Linked DNA regions of Canis lupus familiaris. Each later gene encodes a partner of the first gene's protein in a complex. Links are inferred from orthologs where the notes say so. Each region holds a gene or a part of one and is shown in the gene's direction. Other genes may lie near its edges. The genes, in order: TADA3, TADA2A, DR1, MBIP, TADA2B, YEATS2 and TAF6L.

What was found.
Region 2: TADA3 (region 1) and TADA2A share a complex: the UniProt entries of both Homo sapiens proteins name them as parts of the ADA2A-containing complex. The link is inferred for Canis lupus familiaris from reciprocal best matches to the Homo sapiens genes TADA3 and TADA2A.
Region 3: TADA3 (region 1) and DR1 share a complex: the UniProt entries of both Homo sapiens proteins name them as parts of the ADA2A-containing complex. The link is inferred for Canis lupus familiaris from reciprocal best matches to the Homo sapiens genes TADA3 and DR1.
Region 4: TADA3 (region 1) and MBIP share a complex: the UniProt entries of both Homo sapiens proteins name them as parts of the ADA2A-containing complex. The link is inferred for Canis lupus familiaris from reciprocal best matches to the Homo sapiens genes TADA3 and MBIP.
Region 5: TADA3 (region 1) and TADA2B share a complex: the UniProt entries of both Homo sapiens proteins name them as parts of the TFTC-HAT complex. The link is inferred for Canis lupus familiaris from reciprocal best matches to the Homo sapiens genes TADA3 and TADA2B.
Region 6: TADA3 (region 1) and YEATS2 share a complex: the UniProt entries of both Homo sapiens proteins name them as parts of the ADA2A-containing complex. The link is inferred for Canis lupus familiaris from reciprocal best matches to the Homo sapiens genes TADA3 and YEATS2.
Region 7: TADA3 (region 1) and TAF6L share a complex: the UniProt entries of both Homo sapiens proteins name them as parts of the STAGA transcription coactivator-HAT complex. The link is inferred for Canis lupus familiaris from reciprocal best matches to the Homo sapiens genes TADA3 and TAF6L.

The regions. Positions count from the first base shown.
Region 1 is NC_049241.1:8,521,967-8,526,077, forward strand, and holds the start of TADA3 (transcriptional adapter 3), read left to right. Parts: upstream 1-1,311; 5' UTR 1,312-1,800; intron 1,801-2,479; 5' UTR 2,480-2,505; coding exon 2,506-2,712; intron 2,713-4,087; coding exon 4,088-4,111. Other genes in the region: ARPC4 (actin-related protein 2/3 complex subunit 4), read right to left, coding at 904-906. UniProt on the Homo sapiens protein: Functions as a component of the PCAF complex. The PCAF complex is capable of efficiently acetylating histones in a nucleosomal context. The PCAF complex could be considered as the human version of the yeast SAGA complex.
Region 2 is NC_049230.1:37,152,784-37,157,064, forward strand, and holds the start of TADA2A (transcriptional adapter 2-alpha), read left to right. Parts: upstream 1-1,481; 5' UTR 1,482-1,566; intron 1,567-4,281. Other genes in the region: ACACA (acetyl-CoA carboxylase 1), read right to left, coding at 913-950. UniProt on the Homo sapiens protein: Component of the ATAC complex, a complex with histone acetyltransferase activity on histones H3 and H4. Required for the function of some acidic activation domains, which activate transcription from a distant site. Binds double-stranded DNA.
Region 3 is NC_049227.1:56,206,242-56,210,389, reverse strand, and holds the start of DR1 (protein Dr1), read left to right. Parts: upstream 1-1,348; 5' UTR 1,349-1,429; coding exon 1,430-1,649; intron 1,650-4,148. UniProt on the Homo sapiens protein: The association of the DR1/DRAP1 heterodimer with TBP results in a functional repression of both activated and basal transcription of class II genes.
Region 4 is NC_049229.1:15,070,287-15,074,488, reverse strand, and holds the start of MBIP (MAP3K12-binding inhibitory protein 1), read left to right. Parts: upstream 1-1,402; 5' UTR 1,403-1,465; coding exon 1,466-1,594; intron 1,595-4,202. UniProt on the Homo sapiens protein: Inhibits the MAP3K12 activity to induce the activation of the JNK/SAPK pathway. Component of the ATAC complex, a complex with histone acetyltransferase activity on histones H3 and H4.
Region 5 is NC_049224.1:59,645,413-59,647,758, forward strand, and holds the end of TADA2B (transcriptional adapter 2-beta), read left to right. Parts: coding exon 1-356; 3' UTR 357-1,846; downstream 1,847-2,346. UniProt on the Homo sapiens protein: Coactivates PAX5-dependent transcription together with either SMARCA4 or GCN5L2.
Region 6 is NC_049255.1:16,824,624-16,828,822, forward strand, and holds the start of YEATS2 (YEATS domain-containing protein 2), read left to right. Parts: upstream 1-1,399; 5' UTR 1,400-1,549; intron 1,550-4,199. UniProt on the Homo sapiens protein: Chromatin reader component of the ATAC complex, a complex with histone acetyltransferase activity on histones H3 and H4. YEATS2 specifically recognizes and binds histone H3 crotonylated at 'Lys-27' (H3K27cr).
Region 7 is NC_049239.1:54,427,953-54,432,180, reverse strand, and holds the start of TAF6L (TAF6-like RNA polymerase II p300/CBP-associated factor-associated factor 65 kDa subunit 6L), read left to right. Parts: upstream 1-1,428; 5' UTR 1,429-1,696; intron 1,697-1,919; 5' UTR 1,920-2,039; intron 2,040-2,286; 5' UTR 2,287-2,338; coding exon 2,339-2,346; exon of another isoform or gene 2,347-2,400; intron 2,401-4,228. UniProt on the Homo sapiens protein: Functions as a component of the PCAF complex. The PCAF complex is capable of efficiently acetylating histones in a nucleosomal context. The PCAF complex could be considered as the human version of the yeast SAGA complex.

The DNA.
Region 1 (4,111 bases):
AAATAAAATAAAATCCAGACTGCTAGCTGAGGTAAGATGCCACAAAGCCAGGATAAGCAACATGGGGAAAGCTGGTTGAGAGAAAATGATTTTCGATCTGAAGGTGTGATCTGAAGGTGTCTTCAAGATATCCAGGCAAACCCTACAAGAGAGCTAGGAAGGCAGACTCATGAACCACCAGAATACACAAGGTCATGGAAGCCGGGAATGGACAGGCACCACTAGGGAAAATGTGAGGAGGAAGGTGGGGAACCAAAGCCTCGACTCCCAGGAAGACCGACATGTATCAGCTGCGAGGATTTCCAGGAAGGGAGGGATCCGTAGGACAGAGCTCTCGTACTATGGTTAAGGTTAACACGGTGGAATTCTAACCAGGAAGAGGTCTGGGTGGCGGCGGCATAATCCTTCCGTGGAGCAGAAGCAAGGCAGGGAAGTAAGCGAAGAGTGGGATAAGGAAGTGGAGACGCTTCCTTTGGAAAACTGTGGGGTCAAGCGGGCAGGAGAGGACAGGACAGTGTATTTAGCAAAGCTCTACCCTGGGTGAGGCGCCCTTGCTACGCCGGCCCTACTACGGGCGAGGAAGCCTACTGAGTGCCTTCAAGGCTCTCCCGCCGACCTCCCAGGCCCCACTCCCGGCGTCCTGTCGACGCCTCACAGTTCCCCACCTGGCCCGAAAGACAAACCACGAACCTGCGAGGCCTGCGTCCTCCCGGGGCGCCCCCCGCTCGCCCCTTCCTCACTTGGGCTCCCGCCCCGCCCTCTCCTCCCAGCCTCATCATGCCCCCACACCCCGCAGCAGCCCTCGGCCCCGGGGCTCTCCGCTGCAAAGCCGCCTCGCCCCCAGACCCACAGCGTTTGAGGCAAAACAGCGGGGGTCCCTGGCGCGGGGCCCGGCTCGCTCACCATCGCGGGCGCTGGCTGGGCCGGAAAGCGGAAGTGCGGAAGTGGCCAGCCCGCGACGCCTGCCCTTCCGCGAGGGGCGCAGCCTCGGTCTGCGCCCGGACTTCCGGACGGGACCACTATGCCCGAGCGGGGAGGGGGAGCCTGGGAGCCCCCGGTCCTTGGCAGGTCTCCCCGCTAGGACTGTCTTCACATCTTTAGACTGCGGAACTTTCGAATCGATGCGGGAGCTCATGCCGTTATCCACGCAGCTCTGGCTTGCGGCCCTGGCCCTCCTCTCGTCGTGCCCCGTAGTCGGGCAGTGGTGCGGCCCGGCCTCAGGTTGGGCACCATATTAGGACAAGGCGAGGCGGAGGAGCCCTCCGTTCCTTCCGGTTCTGCGCCCCTAGCCTCGCTCTGGGCCCCTCCTACCTGCAGCCCCCGGGGCTCCGCGGGAAGAGCTGCCGGGCGGAGGGCTTGGCTGCCGGGCCCCGCCCCCAGCCTCGGGCCGATCCCCAGAGTGGGCCTGAGGCCGAGCCCTCCCCCACCTGCAGTAGGCTCGCCCGCGGCCTGCCCACCCTTCCCCGCACGCCGCAGTGGGCTCCCGCCCGCGTCGCCCACCCCCGCGTCCTCTGCGGGGGGCCCGCCCCTGGCCAGTTCCGGGGCGGTTGCTCCACCAACCGGAACTCCCCGCCCCCTCCCGTGGCCTGGGGGCCGTAGGAGGCAGCAGGAGGCTGCAGTGAGGAGGTAGAGGGGGCGGGGGCCGCGTTAGGGGGTCCCCAGAGGACGGGGGCCCCGAAGGCAAGTCACTGGGGCGACCCGCAGGAGGGGCCAGCCACTAAACAGGCGCACTTCTGTGCCAGGCACTGAACTGGGCTCTTGACAAGCATCCTTTCATAATCCTCAGAGCATCCCGGGGAGGTAGGTACTATCGTGATCCCCATTTTACAGATTCAGACTTCTTATGGGGAGACAGACCCAGATTTCTTTGGTCCCCATTTTGTAGATGGAAAAACCGAGACTCAGGAAGGCTAAATAACACGTTTGGAGCTACATAACTAGAGAATGGTAAAGGCTGTGCCTGCCTGGCTTACCAGCCCATATTCTTAACCACTGTCAGCGGCCAAGAAAAGGGACCACGACGGGAGGGGGTGAGAGAAGAAGCGAGGAGGCACAGAGAACATTAGCATTGTAAGAATGGGATGTTTGGAGCTTAGAGGCTTAGCCAGACCCGGGAGCAGTAGGACAGAAGAGCATCAGAAAGACAGGGCAAAGACTCAAAACTATCTGGATTCAGATTGCCTCTTGGTAACCGTGGGCAGGTACCCACCCTTACAGAGTCTGAGTTTTCGTATCTGTAAGGTGTAGGTCGCCATTGTCCCTGCTCATGGGGTTGGGTGAGGAATTCAGTGAGAAGCCAGTAAAGTGTCTGTACCTGGCTTGATGTACAGCGAGTGTCCTGTGAGTAGGAGCCGCGCCATCAATCTTGTAGTTAGGTACCGAAGCCTGGCTTTCTCCTGGAGTCTGTCCCTGGATGGAGGGAGCTCTTGGACTTTTCTCGTGCCAGTTTCTCTCCTATCAATGGCTCTCTCCTCTCCAGTTCCACAGGGTCCCGTATCCTGGGCCATGAGTGAACTGAAGGACTGCCCCTTGCAGTTCCATGACTTCAAGTCTGTGGACCACCTGAAGGTCTGTCCACGCTACACGGCTGTGCTAGCCCGCTCTGAGGATGATGGCATCGGCATTGAAGAGCTGGACACTCTGCAGCTGGAGCTTGAGACCCTGCTTTCCTCTGCCAGCCGGCGCCTGCGGGTTCTCGAGGCCGAAACCCAGGTGATACTCTGCAGAGAGGTTATCACCAGGGGTGGACTGTGACAAGTTACGGGTTAGATCATTGAGTTAGCACCTACCCACTGAGGCCCGGGATACAGGAGCTTAGAGAGAGGGGTAAGGAGAGACCCACACTGCGCTCATGTGATGCATAGAATATATAAGAACGTGCATGATCCTCATAAATTGCAAGATTTCTGATTTGCTAAGCATTTATTGACCCCACCGCACCCCACCGTTATGTTCTGGGTCCTCTGCTAGTCATTAGAGAGAGGTAATGAGGACACTTCTGGCCTTTAGGGAGTTTGCTAACTCAAAGGCGGGGGGAGGGCAGACAGATACCAGGTGATGTTGTGTTATGGTTAAAAGTACTAGGGAAACTGGATTGAGAAGACCTGGATTTGAATCCTGGCCTAAGCACTTGCTTAGTATTACTTTTTTCTACGTATGTGACTTTGGGAAAGTTGCCTCCTGTCACTGAGCATTGGTTCCCTATCAGCAAACTGGGATGAATAATAGGAGCTATCTCTGAGCTTCTGTGAGGATTAAAAGAGAGGTTTTTGTTTTGTTTTGTTTTGTTTTTTGCAAAAGCCTCAGCCCAACATCTGACACTAAGTATTTCAAATGCTAATTATCGATACTACTCTGATATTTCTGTTTACGACATAAGCATTCCCTGAGCCCTGTGTGCCAGATGCTATGCCAGATCCTGGGGAACAGAGGCAGTTAAAATGAATGTCCTGGTCTCCAGTAGCTTATAGTCTAGTTACAAAGACAAGGTATGCTGTTCGTTCCAGTATGATCAAACAACACATTTAGGCCAACAGTTCTACTGGTACAAAGTGTCAGAGACTCAGAGGGGACCAAGATGCCATTTTAATAGGTCCTCAAAGGATGAATAGTTATCTTGTGGTCCATGGGAGTGCACTGAAGCTTTTTGAGCAGGGCAAATTCAGTTGTATTTTAGCGTGTAAGAGGCTGGGTAACTGATGAGAAGGCTTCCCAGTTGTGACATTTGAAGTGAAGGTTTACTGGGAGTCTTGTTTGCATTCATCAAAAAGTTACCACCAGCATATTCCAGCGCTGATATGCACTGGGGCATGATCATTAGTTTGACCTAAACACTGTGTGACTGGCTTAGGTGATAGAGGTGAATCAGTCCAGACAAATGGAATGATGAGAAGTGTATGAATGAAGTCCTGTGAAAAGGAACTGAGTTTTGAAGGGTGAGTAGGAGTTTACTAAATGAAAGGGGGATGGATAAATAAAAAAGACCTTGGCGTCTTGTCAAGTTCTAAATCCTAATTCTTCATTGGGAGAAAAACTTGTCCTATGACTTCTCTTCTTCCTCTCAGCGATAGTCTCTCGTAAATTTCAGATCCTCACTGACTGGCAGGATAAG
Region 2 (4,281 bases), on another chromosome or scaffold:
AAGCCTTCCCTGTCTACCTCATCTACTCAAGTCAGGCAGGCTGCTCAGTCCGCCCTATAACTCCTGGGGCCTCTGCCACAGGACCCCGGCTGGCATGCAGTGGACCATGCCCACATCACTCATCCCTTTATTCTGATTTATTTTTTTCCATAAAACTTGCCACATTACTGGGCATGATCTATTATTTAGTAATATGTATGTTGTTTCTTATCAATCTCCCCCCACTATTATATGAGGCAGAGACTGTTTTGTTCACCGCTGAGTTCTCAACACCTGGAAAAGTGTCCGCTCGTTAAATATTTGTTGGCTAAATGACTAAATAGATTTTCAGGATACATCGAATGTAAAACTACACTATATTGTATCTACTGACATGATACACAGGAAAATGTCTGGAAGAGTATACCAAAGTGTTAACTGTTTATTTAAAACGGTGAGAGCTGGCTTTCACGTTATTTTCACTTGTGTGAATGTTCTGATTATTTTTTAGCACAAATCTGTAGCATTCGTATACTGAAAGATGAATAAAGAGGCCATACCAGCAGAAAATGCAAATGAATTCAAAGCGAGGTTGGGCACATTTATGAAAGACTTCTAAACAGGTGTAACAGCATAATGGTGAAGATTATCACGGCTTGAATCCCCTCCCCAACACTTTCGTTTTTTTTTTTTCTTTTTTCCCCAACACTTTCTAGCCGTGTGTTCCCAAGTTACTTATAAGCCAGTCTAAATGTCTTCACCTGGAAAATGGGGGTAATAATAGTGCCTGCCTCATAAGGTCGTTTTTGAAGATTACATGACACCAAGGATGTGACCTCCTTTGTACAATTTCTGGCATGCAAGAAATAAATACTCGACAAATGGCAGCTATTATAATAGTTAGTAGTAGTAATAAGAGACGTTGGGACGTACCTAACCCTCAAGATTGACATCAGAGTGGACCACCACATCCTGTCATCATCGCGCCTCAATCTGGGCCCCTGAAGCCCAAAGAGGGGATGATGGTTCTTTCCAAAGAGGAGAATTTCGACGTTCCAGAAGCATCTGAGTAAAACGTACCCTGTTTACCCTTACACCAGTCAGTCAGTCTGGTTAATCCACGAGCAGCACTGGCAAGACCCGCGTGGCCTCAGCTGCCTTCGCTGCAACAGGGGCGGCAGAGAGGGTTGGGGGTGGGAAAGTTAGAAACACAAAAGCAGGACAGAACCGGCCCGGCCCGCTCCACCTCACCGCACTCTGAAGCGGATCGAACGGCGCCACGCACCGGCAAGCCTCTGGCGACCGCCAACGCGCCTCACGCAAAACTGACTGCCGCCCGGACTCAGTCAGGCAGGCGGCTCACTCCGCCCCAGCACCCCCGGGCCTCTGCCACAGGACCGCGGCTGGCGCGCGGCGAGGCCGGGGCGCGGGCCGAGGGGGCGGCGGCGGCGGCGGCGGCGGCGCCGCGAGGGCCGGGGAGGGGCGGCGGCGACGCGCTCGCGCCTGTGCCGCTCGGGAGCGAGCACGCACCCCGGGGGCGCGCGCGCGGGTGGCGGCTCCTCGGCGCGGAGGAGGGGACGCGGTGAGGTGAGGCACGAGGCGTTGCGGGCCGGGTGGCGGCGGTGCGCGAGCCCCTCTCGCGGCCGAGGGCGGGGTGGGCACGGCGAAGGGGCGGAGGGGGAGGGGAGGGGGCGGGCTGCGGGCCCTCGCGGCCCCAGGGGAAACGCGGCCTGCGGGCCCGCGGACGGGCTTGCGGCGCCGGGCCACGCCACGCCTGGGGGAGGGGGGCGCGGGCCCGGCCTGACCCGTGGGGCCCGCCCCTCGGCGTCCCCGGCTCGCCCCGCCCCCTGGGCGGCCCTGCGCTGCCCCGGCCTCGGGATTGCTGTGTCTGCAGGGGCGCGCCTAATTACGCCGGGAACAGCCGCCCTGTGTCTTGCACCTGACCGACGTTTACTTTTTCGAGTTTTCAAGTAGGCCTTGCAACACTGGGTAGTTCAGCTCCATTTTGGAGCTGAGGCCGACTGAGGCTCAGGAAAAATGACTTGCCCAAGATCATACAGCTTAAGGAACGAAGTGAGGAGCTCAGCCTCGTCTGCAAAACTACGGACCTTGCACCTGTCTGTCCCCTGCACCACAGCGAAGGCGGTTCTTCGCGGTGCCTCCCTTCCTCCTCCTAGTGACTTTGAATTTGGCAGATGTTAATTTGGAGCTACCACCCATCCTTTCATGGATATTAGTGTCAGAAATGTCTCTTGTGAGAAAGGAGAGGAAAAAAAGTTCTGCTTATTGCAATATTGTGCTTATGACATGAAGGATTTATACATCCATTACTTGACCGTTAGTATTAACCTCTGTTGAAGTGTCGCTGCTGTTTACTACCTTTAAGACATTGTGCAAGTACCTGTCTTTCAGAGCTTCATTTCCTTATTTGAAAAAGCAAAAAAAAAAAAAAAAGCAGCATGTCGGAAGGTTGTGAGGATTTATTTATTTATTAATTATTATTTTTTGGTTGTGAGGATTTAGAGAGATAATCCGCATACAGTGAGTGGTTCCACAGTACCTGGCACATGAGTAAAGTTCACTTGGCCTTTTTTTTTTTTTTTTAAGATTTTATTTATTGATTGATGAGAGACACACACACACAGAGAGGGGGGGCAGGCTCCACGCAGGGAGCCCGACATGGGACTCGATCCAGGGTCTCCAGGGTCAGGCCCTGGGCAGAAGGCGGCGCTAAACCGCTGAGCCACCGGGGCTGCCCTTGGCCATTATTTTATTAACGAGTGCATAATACCCCTTGCTAAACCCATTTTTCTTCAAAGACTAACTTTTCCTAGGACTAGAGGACGGCATCCTATCCCAGCCCACTTAAAAAGACAAGTTCATTGACAGCAATGTTATCTGAATGGCATATAGACTTAATGGTGAATTATACTCCCAGCTCAGCACGCCAGATGAAAGAAGTCATTCCAGGAGAATTAAAGATGAATTAACCTTTTGTAAAATTAACATTTGTCCATTACATTTTATTTCTTGAGTTCTTTCTCTGGCATTTTGATACATATGGATATGTGCTGGACAGTAGTCCCTGCTTTCATTTAGTCTAGAAATGGGGAAAAAAATATGCATTCAGAAGTAATCTTCACAAAGTAGACTGTGATGCCAGAAAAGAGAAGCTGTGGGACTATAGAAGAAGGAGAGATGTTTTCTTGAGTTAGGGTGAAGTAGGATTTCATTTCTGCCTTTAAGAAAATACTTTGTATATTGTACAAACATTAAATATTTGTTCAGGGCAGCCTGGGTGGTTCAGCAGTTTAGCACCACCTTCAGCCCAGGGCCTGATCCTGGAGACTCGGGTTCATCTCCGGCATTGGGCTCCCTGCATGGTGCCTGCTTTGCTTCTCTCTCTACCTATGTCTCTATCTCTCATGAATAAATAAATAAAATCTTTAAAAAGAAAAAAAAGGGTAAATGAAAAAACTCTAAACAGTTGGGCCACCCTTGGGGGTGGGGATCTCAATAGCCAGAGCTCATGGACCAAATTCTTTGATTAGTGAATAACTGGGATCCAACTGCCTTCTGCCCTTGTACGTCTTACTCAAGACTGGGATTTTCATAAGAGATCTGGTTGCTTTAGCTGTGGGGGTGCGGTATACAGAATTGTGATTGGTAATCCCACCAGGACCATATGAAATGCGGGTGAGTCAGTTTCCCAAAGGAAAGAAGGGTTAAGGAGAGAAGTGATACTAGATAGAGAAAAACAGTAATTGTTTATTAGAGATATGTAGCCATTATGCAGGGCTTACTAGGGGCCAGGTACCACGGTACATTTTTATATGGATTTTGATATTTAATCCTCACAGTAACTCTAGGAGGTAGATACTATTTCTCATACCCGCTTTACAGAGGGAATACAGGCTTATAAAGACAAAATAATTGGGGAACCTTACTGGCTCAGTCAGAGGAGCGTGTGACTCTTGATTTCTCGGGGTCATGGGTTTGAGCCCCACATTGAATGCAGAGATTACTTAAATAAAACTCAAAATAGGGGCGCCTGAGTGACTAAGTCGGTTAAGTGTCTGACTCTTGATTTTGGTTCAGGTCATGATCTTGGGGTCATGGGATTGAGCCCTGCATCAGGCTCTGAGATTAGTGGGGAATCTGCTTGAGATTTTTCTCTCTCTCCCTCTGCCCCTCCATGTACTCTCTTTCTAAAATAAATCTTTTTTAAAAACCCTTAAAATTTAACAAAATAATTTGCTTAGCATTGCAAAGCTAGAATGTGGTAGAATTGAGTATGTTGCA
Region 3 (4,148 bases), on another chromosome or scaffold:
CCAGCAGCCAACGTTCAACACACCATGAAAAGGGGCTAAGCGGGAACCTCTTTAGCGTGGCTCACTGTCCGCTCTACTACATGGGATCTTACTTCTAGTTTCTGGCTTGGTTATTAGCAAGTCACTTCTCTGAAGGTTTCATTTCCCATAAAACAAGAAAATGGGTAAAGGCCCATAAAGAGCTTTGATCCGAACAACGTCTGTTAGGTGTCATCACAAAAGCGTTTCCTCCTGGCGATGTAGACGGGCACACGACGTTCTGCTTTCCCGACATCTCGTTCCCGAGCCCGGGCCTCCTTCTCTCAGCCCCAATTTGGGCTCCTAAAAGGAGATGAAATCCGGCGCTCCCTCCTCAAACAAGGCTGGGGGAGAGCTTCGAGGCCACAGCTGGTTAAGGGGCGGCGGAGGGGACCCACCCTCGCCCCCTCCCAAGCCGGGCGCGGCAGCCCGAGGGCCGGCGCGTGGCGGGCCGGCGCGTGCCGAGGGGCTCCCAGGTACCAGCGCGCGCTCGCCCCGCTCCGCTCCCCGCGAAGGGGCAGGGTCCCCGGGCGCGTGCAGAGACGACGGCAGGCGGAAGCCGCAGGCGGGGAGGCCGGACCGTTCCCGCCGCGGGCGGGTGGGGGAAGGGCTGCAGCCACACCCGGAAGTCGGTCTGCGAGGGAGAGGGGGGGCCGGAGGGGGGGTGAGGCTTCCGGTAGCGCAAAGGGTGTCGGGAGAGGCTTCCAGCAAACCTTCTTCCTTGGCCTCTGGAGGGACCACCGTTGCCGCGGCTTCGGCTTCCACGATCTGCGTTCGGGCTAAACGGCCACGGCGGCCGCTACTGTCGCTCCCCTGGTGCCCGGCTCTGTCCGTACTCGTTCCCGGGCGGCCGCCACGGCTCCCGCAGCGGCTGCGGCCGACATGTTGTGAGGCGGCGGCGCGGGTGTCTGAAGGATGGTTTGGCTGAGGCGGCGGCAGCGGCTGCTGGCGGCGGCGGCAGCTGGGGCTCCGGCTCTGTAGCGCCCAGCCCGCTGGGTGGCTGCCCGGTACCGCGGTGAGGCCAGTGCCCCGGACCTTGCCTCTCCTCAGGCGCGGTTGGGGACCGGTTAGGCGACAGCGCCCGCTCCTCGGAGGAGACACGAAGGTGGTTCCCCAGTGCTCACATTTCCGGACCACCTTGGCTTTCTCTCCGACCTGGACAGCGCTGCCCCGACCATCCTCAGCACCCCGACCTCCTTCCCGGTCTCGCCCTAAAAAATCTCTCACACGGGTGTTCCCCACCCTCACGAACCGGCTCCTCCCTACCCCCCACCCCCACCCCCACCCCCCTTCATTCTCCGCGCTCCTGGGATCACACTTTTGAGGGCAGCCTTTTGAAAATTCTTCGCGGAATAGTGGACTAGAGCTGGGGAGTTTTTAAAAGTCGGGGCGCGCGCGAGAGGGAGCTACGATGGCTTCCTCGTCCGGCAACGATGATGATCTCACTATACCTAGAGCTGCTATCAATAAGATGATCAAAGAGACTCTCCCCAACGTCCGGGTGGCCAACGATGCCCGGGAGCTGGTGGTGAACTGCTGCACTGAATTCATTCACCTTATATCTTCTGAAGCTAATGAGATTTGCAACAAGTCGGAAAAGAAGACCATCTCACCTGAGCATGTCATACAAGGTAAGTGGTACGTGTGGGGGTTTTGTTTAAGCGAGGGTCGGGGACAGCCCGCGAGTTGCGGGACCCATTCACGTCAAAGCCTTCATTCCTCTCCCCTACATAAGTACTGGCAGACGAAAAAGCCACGCGGGCATGGAAGCAGCCGATGCCTTGAGAAACTCCTGGGTAGTATTCTCGTGGTGGTGCTTTTCATCCAGCGAATACACGTAAGGATGGCAAGCGTTTAGGTCAGCCAACATCCTCCAGGGATAAAGTATTAATTGTCTCGGTTGACGGCCAGGTAAGCCGAAGCAACAAGAATTTTGCCTGCATGCCTGCCTAAAGTGGAACCTAGACGTGACGACTGAGAAATTGTCTGCCTAAAGTGGAACCTTCGATCACAACAACTGAGAAAGGAACACAGAGAGTTATCCCTTGGAAAAGGAAAAATCACACGGGAACTTCCAAGGATGAGTGGAGACAGCACCCCTTCCCCATGCGGTCTTTTCAGCAATGTAGAAGAAAAGATGAATTTTCTGAACACACGAGTAAAAGAATTCTTAACATAAATGTGTTCAACGTTGTAAAGTTTGGTGATGTTGAATAAAGACAGTATGTTTTCTGCTTTAAAAATGGTTTAGTGGTCCTACCATGTTAACCAGTCTTCTTTCCTCTTTCCTTCTTTTTTCACTTTCTTTCGTAGTTTTTTTCTTTTGTGTAGCTTGCTTTGCTCTATGGAGATAAATTTTTAAAGCTTGGATTGAAAGGTTGTAAAAGATATTTTTCATGGAACATTTCTCTGTCCTTTCTTGCTGCCTTTCCCATTTAGCTGTATACACTTAAGCTTTTATTGAACAGCATTTTTGGAAGTTTCAACCCTTTCTTATCTTGGAAAGGATTTAGTCCAATAGTAAGGACGTGGGGGACCACATTCTGATGGTTTGTTTCAGGCTAGGGAGACATATTTACTAGTCATAATGTTTTGAGAGCACATATGCTCTTATGGGAAAGTTGCATTCAATTTGAGGCGGTAATTTGCCTTTTATAATAATTCAATTAAAATCTAAAAATTTTTTGATTGCTTTTGAAGTCAGAAAAAATGATTAATTTTAATCATATTAGTGGGCATTTATTTTTTATAATTTTTAAATTTATAATTATTCTTAAATTTATAATTTAACTTTTTAGAGGTGACTTTCCTGTTATTCTGAAGTAGAGAACACATCTGCTCGTATTTACCATCTCCAATATTTTACTATCAGTATTGACAAAAGAAATGATTCATTTTTGGTCCTTAATGATGTGTGGAAGATAGATTTAAGTATACTCTGCCATTTCCATTCCTGTACATGAGGAGAAAAAAAAAATCTCTAGGAAAAACCATGTTTGATTTTAAAGCCAGTGTTTTCTACTTGTTTGGTGTGCTGAACACTCTGGCAAGTACAATGAAAGTCAAGTTCTCTATTTTTTGTTTCGTGTTTTATTTTTACATTGTGTGTACTATTGTCATAAGTCTTTCATAAGGTTATCCAACACAGATAGCTGTAATTTCCTCTTACAACTCGTAAAAAAGAAAAAATCTTTTATCAACATTGCCTTTCTAATGAAAATTGCACAAGATTTCTAAAGGATGTGCTTAAACATTTGTTTACAACACAGAAGTGGGGATTATTCCAAAAATCTAATAACACATTACGGTCTGTCTTCTTGGGTAGTTTATTCTTTTCTGGGATATATTTAGATTTCTGATTGACATGATGGAATAAAAGTGCAGCTGTAGTGAGCAGTATGCTAACTAGCTCAACTTTGGAATATGCTAAATTCAGTTTAAGATGTGAGTCAGAAAGTTCCAGTGAAAGCATTTTCATTTTCCTTTGTGTACTGGGGATGATTGATTAATTTTCTTAAAAAATCATCCATTGACCTGTTTTAGTCTTATAAATTTACCCTTTTTTTTTTTTTTTTTTTTTTTGGTAACATTGCTGTTAAGTAGAAAAGGACCTACCATTTTTGCCCCAAATTCTTCTCCAGTTAGGGGAATAAAATTTATACATTTATAATCTTATGTTAATCTCACATTGCGTAATCATTTTAAAGAATTTTTGTCTTGAGTGGTTACATTTTTAAAAAATGTATATATATTTTTAAAAAGTGTTAAAAATGTATTTTACAGATTAACCCTGGAAAGCTTGCAAAAACATGGAAGTTACAACATTTTTTATGCTTTTTGTAAGCATTAATTATTTTGGTATGTAGGATGTATCCAAATGGAATAATTAGTACATTTAAAGTTGTATGAGGGATCCCTGGATGGCGCAGCAGTTTGGCGCCTGCCTTTGGCCCAGGGCGCGATCCGGGAGACCCTGGATCGAATCCCACGTCGGGCTCCCAGTGCATGGAGCCTGCTTCTCCCTCTGCCTGTGTCTCTGCCTCTCCCTCTCTCTGTGTGACTATCATAAATAAATAAAAATTAAAAAAAAAAAAAAGAAACCTGGATGGGTTATCTTAAAAAAAAATTAA
Region 4 (4,202 bases), on another chromosome or scaffold:
TTTTTCTAGTTACCCTGTTATAATTATTCTCTTCTAAAAAGAGAACCAGAGGCAAAGAAAATATACAGCATTGCAAAGAATCATGAGTTTAAATTAGAGATGGAGATGAGTGCCTTGAATGAGAAGGCTGCTCAATTTGGGATTATATATTGTGAAATCTTTTTCTGGATGTTTCTAGACATAGGCTGGATTATAAATTGTATATCTTGCTGTGAACAAGGGAACAGACAAGATTTCTCAAGATCCTGTCAAGCCTGGTGATCTTTGGAAATGAAAGCCTAATTAAGAGGCTCCCTAGGGACAGGTCAAAGGCGTTCTTTTATCCCTACTGACCCCATTCCAGTTCTCTGATGCCTATTCTGCTCCTTTTCATTCAGCCTACTCTAAAACTGAAGAATACATATTGTGCAAGTTTCTACCTTTGCTTCCTCTACTGTAAATGCATTAGACTATTAGAATTAAGAATTTTAAATACCTTGTCCCTAATCTCTGAACTGACGGGTTTTGTTTTTTAATAGAGCTTAACATTTAAAATTCTTCTAACCTTTGTTCTTTTCTTCAATTGAACATAAAGCTTTTAAATGTTGGACTATAAAAGTACTTCAAATATCTTTTAATAAATCTATCTGATGAGTAATACGCTGTCAAATTTCAATTCGCATTTATTTTTTCTAATTTCAAAGATTGTGCTGCATGCAATTACTTATTTGAATTAAACTGTTAGAATCGTTTTGAGTGTCTCACTTCTTTGAAAGGTTTAGGTGAGTGTCTCTACAGTATCACTCAGAGAATAGCAACTGATGCACGTTTTAAAACTTGACATAATTATTTTGCAGATTTAAAGTAATTAATGTCCTTTCTTCCATTGATAGTACAGCAGGAACAGTAGAGCATTTTATTGTTCTTTTATAGCCTCTGCTCCCTCACATGAAAAATTAGTCACGTTAATTTGTGTAAGTTTTTAAACTTTGCAGAAGTGAAAATGTTCTAAATACAAGCGTACGTGAAAGAGTTTTCCAGGGTGTAGAGGTGTGGGCCCTGCTGCACCCCCGAACAGCAATCTTTGTCCAGACCACTCCACAGCGCCATGTTAAAAGCTAAAATTTTAACTTCTAAAATTCTGACGTTTAGGTCTAAGTCTCCTCTTCAACACTCATAAGCAACACCTAAAAACACAAGACAGGCTTCAGACGCTAACGTTCCCTAGACCACCGCCCCAATCACCGTCCCAAATTCCGTACGCAGCTCCGCCAGGTCGGCAATTACCCGCTCCGGCTCCTTGGCGTGACGCTCCAGCTGCACCTGATTGGCGCACCGGCTTGTCAGTCACGAGGGTCCTCGAAGGCCCGGGCCGGACGAGACGCTGTGTTTTTACGTCATTTACCGGCGACGCAAGCGGGCGGGCGAGGGGGGCGGGTGTTGTGAGCACAGCTCGGTGGTGGCGGGGGTAGCCTGCGAAGGTGTCATGGCTGCTGCCGTTGAGCTTAGCCTCTCGAGCAGTGGTGACAGGAGTCCGGAACGGAGCTGCAGCCCCAATCTCTCCCAAGAGGTGCTCCGCGAAATCTTTCGCTCACTGCATAGCCTGGTGGGACAAGTGAGTGGTGGTCTGTGGGAGCAGAGCAGGGGGTTGGGAACTCTCCGGCCCCTCCCCCCTTTTTTCCTCTAGCGGAGGCGGGGGGCTGCTTAGGGCTGCCGGGGACCGGGACTGAGTACTGAGGCCGGCGGAGGAGCCTGAGCCTAGCTGCGGTCGGAGCGAGGAAGGCCGTACGGGCTGGCAATTCTCCCCAAGAGTGAGAGGATAGTGTAAGTGAAAAACCTGGCTCCCAGAAGAACATGCTTGGAGAGAGCGAAGGCGTAAAAAGCTTTGTGGGTTTGGAGGGTGCCTGGCGCTCAGCATCCCCTATCCTTCAGTGAATTTGTGATAGAAATTGATAGAAGTAACGGCCTGAGAGTTTTGGCAAAGCTCTCTCCGCTTTTTTTTTGGGGGGGGGGGGGGGTTGATTTGCTTTTAGGAGTCACTTGGTTTTCTTTCTTTTTTTTTTTTTCCTTCTGGTTGTTACATGTGCATCTCTTACCCTTTCATATGGGGAGGAAAAATGAAAGGAATTAATGTAAATACTTCTTGCATAAAATTCGATGAGTTATCCATGATTGATAGAGTTTGCATCAGAACTGTTTGTCATTTAATTATTAGCTAATTTAACTGACTGATGAATAGCTTCTGCAGAAATGTCATAATAAATTGGGTTTAAATAAAAGTACTCCTTACACTATTCAATCAAGTCAACTGTTTCATGAAATAAAATGCAAAGCATATTACAAATGATAAACAACTTGAAAATAAGTTTGTTTGCTTTTAAAAAGGAAATCTTTTGTATCTTAGACGGAATATTTTTTTACTCTAAAAGTTTGTTATGGGGTTGGTATTAGTGCATGTAGTAGGCACAGCAAACATTTATGTCGAGGATAATGTTTATGAAAACAACACCTGTCTAGTTTGTAAAAAGTTATTTTTAAAAGCCGTGAGTGGATGGAGAATTAATTTTTTAAAAGGTTATTTCAGTATTTTTAAAAATCCTAATATGTTTGTCCTTAGAAAAAGCATTACTCTAAGTTAAACATTTAATTTGGTCTAACGGAACAATTATTAACAGAATCTGCTAAAAGTTGTAACTGTTGAGCTCAGTTGTTTGCCGCCAACTTATTAAAATTTTTTAAAGACTTGGGGACATTAACATTTTAGTCTTATCACCCAAGACCTGTAATGGTTAAAAGTCTGAGAACGTTTTCTGTCTTGGATATTGGAATTTTAAGGTTTATTTATATTTTAATGTCACGATGAAAAAAGTTTATGCTTACCTGTAATTTACAGTTTTATTTTCAGTGGTGATAAATTTTTTAAAGTAACATTAAGAAATAATTTAAACATTTCTTTTGAAATATTTTTGCATACTGAATTTTTAAAACTCATTTACAGATTTTAAACATTCGCGTATTTTGTGATTAAAGTTTACTTATGTCACCTGTCAAAAATGTTGAGAGTACATATTTGGAAAGTTTACATGACACATTGAAGGGACCATCTATACAGGTGTCAAAAAATTAAATCATTGTCTCATCAATTAAATACTATTTTGATATTAGTCTTTATATTTTGAGATGTATTGTTTAAAGGGAAGAATGAAAGCCACAATATTATAAAATTGCCCCTGGAGGAAATCACTATGTACTTTTGCAACAAGTTTATAGGATATTTTTTTTAATGTAAGTTTCAAAAAAAAAAAAAGTAAGTTTCAATATGCCTAGTTTCATTCTGCATAGTATCATTATATTGTTGGCTCTCCTCAATAGGAAACATAAAATTGAATGTTAAAAAGTATCCCAGATTTCAAATTTACTTATTTTAACCTTATTGCTTGCCACAGCATGGCTCATTCTACCAAGTTGAAGCATTATTTATTGTTAGCTTGGAGTTTCATACTAATTTTTTATGGAAAATGCTTACTTAAATAGTCCATATTAATGTCACACCAATACATTTTTGAGTGAATGCTTTACGTTTACAAGTTATAAAGGGTAAAAATGCATCGAATTCGTATTACTAATAGGGAATTTGTTGAATAAATAGTTGGATATATTATGATAATTTTAAAGTTAATTTGTATCATTATGTAGTTTTCTTTAAAAAAACCAAGTGTCTTTAATTGTGCTTGAAAGGCTTACATAATTATGCTGAATTGAAAGGAGAATATGATCCCAACATTAAGATTTATTTTATTTGTTTATTTTCTTTAGGAAATTTGATGCTTTACTTTAGTTGAGGATTTGTCTGTGTTATCCCAAAACTCTATTTATAAATTTGTTAGGAACTGTAGATCTCTTAGAGGACTGTAGAAGTACAGTAATTAAATAATATAAACTAAGATTAATGCAGTAATCTTAATGTAAAACTTTAGTTAATATAATCTAATCTCTGCCAGTGTAGCCTATCCAAAATTTCTTATTTCTTTATAGTTGTCTGATACAGACTTTAAATGTTTCTTGTCTCATGGAAAAGGTGGTAAATTTTTGTCATACAGTATTCATTAAGTATACTGCCTTTTTTGGGTAACTTTGGATTTCTGGTTCTTTGTACAGTGATTCATCTTTTTGTTTTATTAGAATCACAACTCATAACATCAGTATTTGAACTAATGTAATAC
Region 5 (2,346 bases), on another chromosome or scaffold:
AGGAGTCCGCTGAGTATGAGGCGGCCCGGCACAAGCGCGAGAAGAGGAAGGAGAACAAGAGCGCCGCCGGTGCCAAGAGGGGCAAGGAGGATGGCAAGGACGGTGAGTTTGCAGCCATCGAGAACCTGCCAGGCTTTGAGCTCCTGTCGGACCGCGAGAAGGTGCTCTGCAGCTCCTTGAACCTGAGCCCCGCGCGCTATGTCACCGTCAAGACCATCATTATCAAGGACCACCTCCAGAAGCGACAGGGGATCCCCTCCAAGAGCCGCCTCCCAAGCTATTTGGACAAAGTCCTAAAGAAAAGGATTTTAAACTTCCTCACAGAGAGTGGGTGGATATCCAGGGATGCGTCCTGAAAGTGTGGGTTTGTGGGCAGCCACCAGGCGCTCTGAGCCCAAGGGACCCGGGCGAGGGAGGGAACATGCTTCCCCCCACTGTTGCTCCTTTTTTAAACAAAGCGAGTTCCTTTCTTTTAGGCTATAAATTCTTTTCCTGGTTCTCTGAAAGAAGCAATAGTAACGATTTTATGTCGGATCATGGGGGAAGCCGACATATGTATGTTTTAACTTAGTCCAAAAGTCATACCTTAAGATGACGATTTGCCTTTACATGTTCAGTTTGGGGACTATTATGAGATTGGGTCATTTCGTGTCTTCCCTTTGGTACGCAACTCTTGGGCTGCGGGTAAAAGGGGCAGCTTTCCGCCGGCCCCGGTAGCCAGCTTGACCCTGTGACATGATCTTTGGCTGGCTGCCGGGGGCACCCCTGGGCCCCTCCCCCCCCCCCCCCCCCCCCCCGGACACCCCAGCACAGCCCCAGCACGCCGCACTTTAGGTGGGGGCCAGGGTGGGGCAGGTGGGAGGTGAGGCTGGAGAACCACAGGATGCACAGGATGTTTCCTTGGGAGCCTTAGAGGAAGAGTCAGGTTGAAGTGTCCACGTGAGCTTCCCCCTGACTCTTGGCATTGAGAAGCTGGAGCTTGTCCTTTGGAGCCCCAAACTGCCCCTTGCCTCCTTTGCAGGGGGTAGAGCCTGCAGGCTCACCTCAGGCAAGCACCCAGCCTCTGGGCAGGCTCCCTAGTATGTGGAAGGGGCTCCAGAACTCTGAGCCAGCTTTCCAGGGGGCTGCTGCTTGCTGCTCCTAATACTTACAGGACTAAGTACCCCACTTACTTGGGAGAACTCATTTTAGAAAGTGGAATGCTGAGTTCTGGAGTCCACTTCCTCCAGGATTTTCACTGTGGTTGCAATAACCTTTTTCACCGAAGCTCTAGCCTTCTCCCTGCAAGCCTGGCTGAGCGTTGTATTTCAGGGGGTGTGCAGTGCTCTCTGCAGCCCAGCCAGGCTGGACTGGGCTACCCCACAGCAGGCTCTGGCCAAGCAGGAAGGGAGCCTTCAGGGTGAGGCACTGTGTGTGGCTTCTCCGGTCTCGGTGTTGGATCCCTCAGCTTCCACTCCGCTTCCGCCCAGCCCTACTGTTTCTGCAGGGGCCCTCTTCTGTCGGGGGACACGGTACCTTCCTTCTAGAACTTGAGTCAGTTCTTTGCCTTCCTGCTGCTCAGGGTTGGTTCTCATGGTGAAGATCCCACTTTAGTTGGGGTGACTACAGACCCCCAGCACTCCCATTCTTCGGGGAGCTCATCCTGCAGCTCCTGCCCCATAGCGACCAAGAGACTGTTTACCTCCCAGAATGTTTGGGCTTGAAATTAAAGTGAAGTTATTTGAAAGACAAAAAGACCCTCATCATTTCCAAGGACTTAATTAAGGTGCCTTTTCCTTTCTTTTTACATCCTCCTGTCCCCCAGGGTAAATTTTTCAGCATTAAATAAAACATTTCAAATACCTTGTCTGTGGCTTTAGTTGTAAAGTATACTGCATGCTGGCAGGAAGTGTTCCTGGTTAGCTCAGCCCAGGAGTTTGACAGAAGAAACAGCGAGCAGAGGTAGGACTCCTGAGGCCCCTCCATGTGTCCCCCTGCAGGGTAGCTGCTGTCCCCAGAGTGCCGGTTGGGTCTGCCACTGAGTGGTGATGGCGACGGGACTTCGTTTTTACAGGGTCTTAGCCAGTGGTTCTCACTTGGGCTTCCTAGACCAGCAGCGTCTCTGCCCTGGGAACCCGCTCGCAAACCTTAGTGGGGGGCCTTTGAGCCGCTGGGATGCTGGCTGGTTGAGCAGCGCTAGCTGTAGCTCCTCCGGGGCTTGTCGCTCACCTATTTCCTCCATCAGGTTCCTGGTTTGGTGAGGTTCTCAATTTGGTATTTTATTATGAAATGGTTGCCCAACTTAAGCTTGAGAAGCACAAGGTCCCTGTAAACGAGTGGCCCAGGCTGACACAGGCTGTCCAATGG
Region 6 (4,199 bases), on another chromosome or scaffold:
AAGGCAGGTACTCAACTGTTGAGCCACCCAGGCATCTGGGTTGTGTGTGATATATTAATAACCCTTCAATTCCCTTATTATGCAGAGCTTTGGAGTCAGTTCTTGGCCTTACTATTCATTTATTCAACAAATGTGTATTTTAAAAATATTTATTTATTTGAGAGGGAGCACGCACTGCACACATGTGCTTGTCTGAGGGGGAGGGGCAGAGGAAGATGAGGGTGGAGTGGGGGTGGGGGGGATGGAGAGAGAGAGAATCTCAAGCTGACTCTCTGATGAGCAGAGCCTGAGGAGGGTCTCTATCCCACCACCCTGAGATCAGGACCTTGGTAGAAACCAAGAGTTGGAGGCTCAACCGGCTGTGCTAGGCAGGTGCCCCTAACAAATACTTTTTCTTTTTATTTTTTTAAGATTTTATTTGACAGAGAGAGAGCATAAGCACAGGGAGTGGCAGGCAGAAGGAGGCAGAGGGAGAAGCAGGTTTCCTGCTGAGCAGGGAGTGGACTCCATCCCAGGACTCTGGGATCATGACCTGAGCCTAGGGCAGATGCTCAACCCACTGAGCCACCTAGGCACCCTTCAACAAATACTTTTTGCATGCATGCTAAATTCTTTAGAACAATTTATTAAATTTAAGTACATCCAAAAAATTGATGACATAAATAGTATAAAAAATTATAAGTGAACTCTCTCTAAACCTACTACTCAGCTCCAGGGGTAAATTTTTACACAGTGAGTTGAACAGATTGAAGGAAGACAGAGACAGATCCCTGGAGAGCTGCAGCAGTCTTGGGCAGAGAGATGATGAGGCCTCAGGCAGGATGTTACAGGAAGAAAGAAAGGGAAAGGTGGGCTCAAAAGATACTTAGGATTTGATGGATGGTCACTCACTAGTTGTATAAACTAGTGAAGTCCCAACCTTTCCGAGCCTCAATTTCTGCATCTGCATAATAGGTCAGTGATAACTATTGTTATCCGTATCCCTAGCACCTAACACAAAGCTTGGCACAAGATGATAAACACACACAAATCATTACTACTGTTTTAGACCTGTGGGAGGTTCATCTACGCTGGGAGAATGAATATCGGTCTGTCAGACCGGAGGCTGGAACTCGCCATCTTCTAGGGAGGAATATGATAAATGACGGTGCCTCTGCCAGAACGGGCATCCAGGCTCCCCAGGCAGTGCGGCAGCACCAGTCCCCATCAGAGTCCGGCCGCCGCCAACCCCAGCTCCAGCCCTGCGCGGGGCCCAGCCCCCGCGGGAGCCCCGGCCCCGCCCACATCCCTGCAAGCCCCGCCCCCGGGCCGCGCGCGCGCCGCCGCCGCCGCCGCGCACGCGCGCCTCGCCCCGCCCCTGGTGCTGACGTGCGAGGCCGAGAGGGACGGACGGGCGGGCTCCGCCGAGCCGTGTGCTTCCGCGGGCTCCGGGGTCGCTGGGGCCTCGTGGCGGGGCGGCTCCGCGGGGCTTCGCCCGCTCCCGCACCTCCCTCGTGCCCTCTCGCCGCGCCCGGCGGGCCCTGCGCTTCGGCCGGAGACCCGGGAGAGGGTGAGTGTTGGCGGGAGCGGGGTCGGGCCGGCCGGGCGCGCGCTCCGCTCTCCCGGGCATTGTCTGGGCGGGGGCGGCGCGGGCACGTGCGCTCCCCTCCCCCACCCTGCCCGCCGCGCGGCCCCGGCGGGCGGGGGAGGGGGAGGGAGCCGGCGACTGCGGGCCGCCGAGCACCGCGGGGAGCGGGCCGGGTGAGCGTGCCGGTCGGGGGCGTCTCCGGAGCGGGAGCCTGCAGCTGCGTGTGTGGGGTCCTTCCTCGGGGCTCAGCGCTCTCCGAGGGCGGCGGGGTCAGGGACCCCCGGGGCTGGAGCTCTCGGCCTGTTGGGCTCGGTGGCCTGCGGTGGAGACGGAGACGAGATTTGGCTCCAGCACCGGCAAGTTGTGGGTTTACCGACAGGCACCGCGGAGTCTGCTTCCAACCTGTCGCCATCCTTACGGTCCTCCCTCGCGAAGGATGAGTGGGATTTAGAAAGGTTGGAGGATTTTCCAGGCATACGCTCCAGTTAGAAGCACCAGAGGCGTGACACAGTGCGGGGTGACAGCGGAAAGCTTGGGAAAGTGAGGACTTGGAGGAAAGGCTGGTTTGGTGGGTTGTGGCCGGATTGCAAAAGACAATGAATGAGGTTTATATCATAACCTTGTCTTCTATCGTGAGTGTAATCAGGGTAAAGAATAGAAAGTAGAGGAGGAAAATATCACCAAATAACCCCACGGCCCTGACACCTCTTTCTTAGTGTTCTGGATGTGTTTGCTGGTATTTTCATCTGAGCTTGTAACAGTTGCAATTAGAGTTTACTTACAATTTTCCATTCTCTTTTCTCCTTATGGTGTTAAAACGAGATGTAATATACAGTATTCGGCAGTATCCTTTATTCTTAATAAGCAAATAGCAAGTATTCATCATAGAAAAATGAAGAAATATAGACAAGCAAAATGAGGAAGAGTATTCATAGTTCTGCTGCCTCGAGATATTGCGTATTTTTGGTTCTGTATATTCTTTCAAAGATAGTGGGGCAGATAATGCCCTGGTTAGGAATTTAGTTTTCATACGAATCCTTTGAAGGTTTTAAGAAGGCAGGTAGCATAATCTGACTGCTCTGTAGAGGAAGAGGGTGAATATGGGAGCGGGGAGATCAGTTAGGATGCTGTTTGCAGTACCTTGAACTAGGTCCGTGGCAGCGAGATGAAGAGTACAGAGATTTAAACATTATTTTGGTTGTAGAATGAACAAGACTTGTGAGTGGGTTAGTGGGAAAATAGGAGACTTCTTTACTTTTTTTTTTTTTAATGTGTTTTTAAGGATTTGTTTATTTGAGAGAGAAGGATTGCTTGAGTCCTAGAGAGCAGGAGGAGGGGGCAGGGGTGGGGAGGAGAGAGAGAGAGAGAATCTCCAGTAGACACTCTGCTGAGCGCGGAGCTGAAGTGGGGCTCTATCTTTTGGCCCTGAGATCATGACTTGAACTGTCAAGAGTCGAATGTTTAACATACTCGGTCACCCAAGCACCCTTTTATATATTTTTTAAAATTAAGTTAAACTCTCTTCCCATCCTGGGGCTTGAACTCAGGTCTCTGAGATCAAGAGTTGCATCCTCTACTTACTGAGCTAATCAGATGCCCCAAGAATTCTCTCTCTTTTTTTTTTTTTGGTAGTTGTTTTGAGCAGCTATGGGTAGATAGTGACATTTACTGAGAGGGAGAAGAATGGAAGAGAAACTTGAAGGGGGAAAAATCACGAGTTCTGTTTTGGGTATATTAAATGTGAGATGTATATCAGTTATGAAGTTGGTATATTGAGGAAATTGGATGTGCAGGTTTAGAGCTCATGGAAGAGAGAGCTAGGAGCTGTTAGATAAAACTTTGGAATTCATTACATAGATGATATTGAAAGGTATGGGACTGCATGAGATCACCAAGGGAAAGAATATAGATAGAGAAGTGAAAATTGACACTTGATCGCTAATACTTCGAGCTGCAGTATGGGAAGAAGATTGAACATAGAATGGAAGAAACAGCCAATGAGGTAGGGAAAAAAGGCAGAAGACCAAAAGGTGTCATGGAAGCCAGGAAAAATAAGTTCAGAGAGGATAGAGGATGTCCATCCCTGACTTTGAGATGTTTAGTGAGATGCTCAATTGGATTTGGAGGTTGTTGGTTTTGTTATTGGTATTATTATTTTTAAGATTAAAAAATTTTTAGTGATCTCTACACCCATCGTGGGGCTTGAACTTAAAACCTGGAGATCAAGAGTCTCATGTGCCACCAGCTGAACCAGCCAGGCACCTCTGGTCATTGTTATTATTATCCAGAGTTCTAGAAGTGGGAGATGGAAACGGGATTGGAATAATTAATTGATTGGGGCTTGAGGAAGGGAAGATAATGAGTGTGGATTAGAAAAACCTGGGCCTTTTTCGAGATGCCTTATTTCCATCTGCTCCCAAACTAAATTTGGTAGGTGAAAAATGGTGTCTTGTTTAATTTTTCATTCATTGATTACTAGAGTGTTTGAACATTTTTTTGTTTGTTTGTTTGAACATTTTTTAACATATATTTGCCATTGGTGATTTTCTGTATCCTGTGTATATCTTTTTGTGTTTATCACTTTTGGGAATTGATTATCAAGAGTCCTTTTAGATCTTGAAAACATGTAGTT
Region 7 (4,228 bases), on another chromosome or scaffold:
TTGAGTCCCGTCGTGTCCCCCCCCCCCCCCCCCCCCCCCCCCCCCCCCCCGCTCTAGGCCTGGGAGGATCTTTTCTAGAAGCAGCAGCATCTAACCCTGAGAGGGAGGAAGGGTGAGGATGTGTACATTCATGCTTTCCCATGGGATACTCCTTTTTTTTTTTTTTTTTAAGATTTTATTTATTCATGAGAGACAGGGAGAGGTAGAGAGAGAGGCAGAGAGAGAAGCAGGCTCCATGCAGGGAGCCCCATGCGGGATTGGATCCAGGCATCCCAGGATCACGCCCTGAGCTGAAGGCAGACGCTCAACCCTCAACCGCTGAGCCACCCAGACGACCCGGGATACTCCCTTCTGTAATGAACAGCCCATTGCAAACCACCTCATCTTGGATGAACATAAAGGAATTAATTCACTGTCTGCCACGTGCTTTCACAGATATTATCTCATTTAATCTACAGTAATCCTGCGGGGTGGGTATTAGTACCATTTTGTAGTTGAGTGAAAATGTGGTTAGGTAATTTGCCCCAAAGCAGTGACAGAATTTGAACCCAGGTTGGTCTGACTCCAAATACTGTAACTTAACTCACTAAGCCCACTTGGTTCTTTTTTTTTTTTTTTTTTTTTTTAGCCCATTTGGTTCTTAATTGAGAACTAACTGCCCAAGTTCAGGAAAGTGTGCGCGTAAAATGGCCAAGGAAGTCTGCTAGTCAGGTGAGGGGCTTATAGTTGGCTTACTGAACAGGAGTGAGGATGCCAGGAGTGATGTGCCAGGATGAGCACAGCCCTGGAATCTGCAGCTTGCACATGAGCTTGGGGCAGTGAGAAGACCCTTCTGCCCGAAGAGAATACCTACTGGGAAAAGGAAGTGCAGGTGATGGAGAGGTAAGTTGAGCTCCACCAAGCGGGCAAAGAAAACCGATTTAGGCGCCAAAGTTTAAAGTTTCGCTGCAATTGCGTAAATGCAAATACTCGGAAACTCAGGAGCAGACAGGACCAAGAGAATGGGGACGCTTTCCTTGACAATACGCCTTTTTTTTTTTTTTTTTTTTAAGATTTTCTCTATTTATTCACGAGAGACATAGAGGCATGCAGGCAGAGGGAGAAGCAGGCTCCATGCAGGGAGCCCGATGTGGGACTCGATCCATGGACTCCAGGATCACACCCTGGGCGGAAAGCAGGGGCCAAACCGTTGAGCCGCCCAGGGATCCCCGACAATACGCTTTTGAAACATACACGAAACCATAGGTACGGACTCGAAAACCCCCAAGCGCTGTTGCTTTAAGAAGCCCGAGTCTTCAGTGTCACGTGACCCCTGGCGCCCAGATGCTTTTACAGCTCCTTCCAAGGACCAATCGCGTGGCGGGAAGCTCCCCGGGAGGGCGGGAACTTTGTAAGGCGCTCGCCGATTGGCTGTGCTCTTGGAAGGTGGGTCCTGGGCTCGGAGAGAGGGAATTAGGGTGAGCAGGGCGAGTGGGAGCAGCCGCCGCGGCGGCCGTCTCGGAAGCCTCCTTCGCCGCGCGGGAGCCCTGTGGTGAGCAGGTCCTCGCGGACCCGAACACTCCTCGCCGCCCTGCGGGCTGCGCACTCAGTGGTCTTAGGGCCGGCGCCGCGGGGGTCCGCCCCCTTCGCTGGCCACGTGACCCAAGTTCCGTAACCCCTGACCTCCTCCACCCCACTGCACCTCACCGCTCAAGTGGTAAGGATGAAGCGAGGCCCGGGGGTAGGATGCGCACCCTCGACGCGGGTGGCGGTCGGTGCCCACGCTCTTTACAGGGTGGCTCGTGGCTGCGGATGCAAAGAGGAGGCTGAGGAGGGGGGACCTTGGTCATTAAGACTTTGTGCGTCTTAATGTGGGCCCTAGTAAGGAAGCTCCCTCTGCGCTTTCCGCGTCGGCAGGACTATTTACTCGCATTTTACAGATGGGGAAGCAGAAACTTCGGGATTATCCATTGGCGGGTCTCCAGCGCCAAGTCTTCGGGCTGGGAATCCAGGCCTTGTTCCCCGGCACAGCCCGCCACTGCTGATGGTTAGGAACAAGAGTTGAGTCCCTGCTCCCTACTTAGTGCTTGCTGGATGATCTTGGACAAGTCATTGAGTATTTAAGCTCTCTGAGCTTTGATTTCCTTGGCTGTGAAATAGACATGGCATTTACATAATACGCATCTCATTGTTAATGAGGATAAAATGAAATATACGCCGTATAGAGCACTTAGCTCTGTGCCTTAGGCATAGCATGTGCTTAGAAAAAAAAAAAAAAAACACAGCTTTTTTTATTTGTTTTTGTAGCCAGTGTTTATTGAGGGCGTATTATGTGCTGACACCGTGCGGGACGCTGGGGATGCAAAGGTGAGCAAACAGGCATGATCCTAGCTGGTGTGGAGCTTACGGTCTAGTGGGAAGGTAGGTGTTAATCACAAAGCTATACAAATATGTAATTACAAATTGCGGGGGAAAAAAAATTGTGATCACTACTGTGAAGGCAAAGTATTGGGGCAGCGTGGAGGTTTGAGAAGACTTCCTGAGCAAGTAGTGTCATTTCAACTGAGATGTGAAGGAGCAACTAGGAGTCCACTAGACAGAACTGGGATGGAGGAGGAGGAGAGTGAAGAAGAGCAGTGTATGAACATCCTGATAGCAGGTGTTTTGGGGAAATGGAAAGAGGCCATGGTGGGAATGCAGAGCACAAGAGGGAAAGAAGGGTTGTAGAAGTAAGTGGACACACAGGACCTGGGAACCAGGTTTGTTCTTTTATTATTTTTTAAGATTTTATTATTTTTTCAAAGATTATTTATTTATTCATGAGAGACAGAAAGAGAGGCAGAGACATAGGTAGAGGGAGAAGCAGGCTCCATGCAGGGAACCTGATGTGGGACTTGATCCTGGGACTCCAGGATCACTCCCCGAGCTGAAGGCAGACACTCAACCGCTGAGCCACCCAGGTGTCCCACTTTTTTCTTTTTTTTAAGATTTTATTTATTTATTTATTCATGAGAGATACAGAGAGGCAAAGACATAGGCCAAGGGAGAAGCAGGCTCCCTTGCAGGGAGCCTGATGAGGGATTCGATCTCAAGACCGGAGGATCACAACCTGAACCAAACGTGTCCCTAGGTTTGTTCTTTATTTTTTATTTATTTATTTATTTTTTTAAAGATTTTATTTATTTATTCATGAGAGAGAGAGAGACAGAGACACAGGCAGAAGGAGAACCAGGCTCCCATGCAGGCAGCCTCACGTGGGACTCAATCCTGGGACTCCAGGATCACGCCCTGGGCTAAAGGCAGTGCTAAATCCCTGAGCCACCCGGGCTGCCCTAGGTTTGTTCTTTATTCCAAAACCAATGCAGAGCCACTGGGAGGAATTTTTTTGTTTAGCGATTTTTACTTATTGGAGAGAGCGAAGGAGAGAGAGAGAGAGAGCAAGTGAGCAAGCATGAGCTAGAGGAAGGGCACAGGGAGAGGGAGAAGCAGGATCCCAGCTGAACAGGGAGCCCAATGTGGGGCTTGATCCCAGGACCCTGAGATCATGACCTGGGCCCAAGGTGGATCCAAAGGCAGCTACGTAACTGACTGAGGCACCCAGGTGCCCCCCTTTGTTGCGTTCTTATTCTGCCATTTCCTGCGAGCGGAAGAGCAGGTTCCTGCTCTTAGGCCTTGCAGCCAAACTGGGAGATAGTCCAGCTCTAAAAGCCCGATAGTCCTCGGTGGCATATGGGCAGGAAGACCTTAAAGGACAGACTGGATTTGCCTTGCCAAAGAGGCTTGGAGGAAAGAGGGAGACAGACCAGCCAGAGCTGGTGGTGAGCATGGGGCAGGCCGGAGCACACTAGGCTGGGCTCACTGGGAGGAGGGATCCATTCACTTGAACAGCTGTGGGGATTTGGGACCAAACACAGAATTTCAAGCTGGGGAGTTTAGAGTTTCTTTTAGAATCAGTGGGGAAGGGATCCCTGGGTGGCTCAGTGGTTTAGCACCTGCCTTCGGCCCAGGGTGTGATCCTGGAGTCCCGGGTCCCATGTCAGGATCCCTGCGTGGAGCCTGCTTCTCTCTGTCTGTGTCTCTGCCTCTCTCTGTCTCTAATGAATAAATAAATAAAATCTTTTTTTTTATTTTTTTTATTTTTATTTATTTATGATAGTCACACACAGAGAGAGAGAGAGAGAGAGAGAGAGGCAGAGACATAGGCAGAAGGAGAAGCAGGCTCCATGCACCGGGAGCCCGACGTGGGATT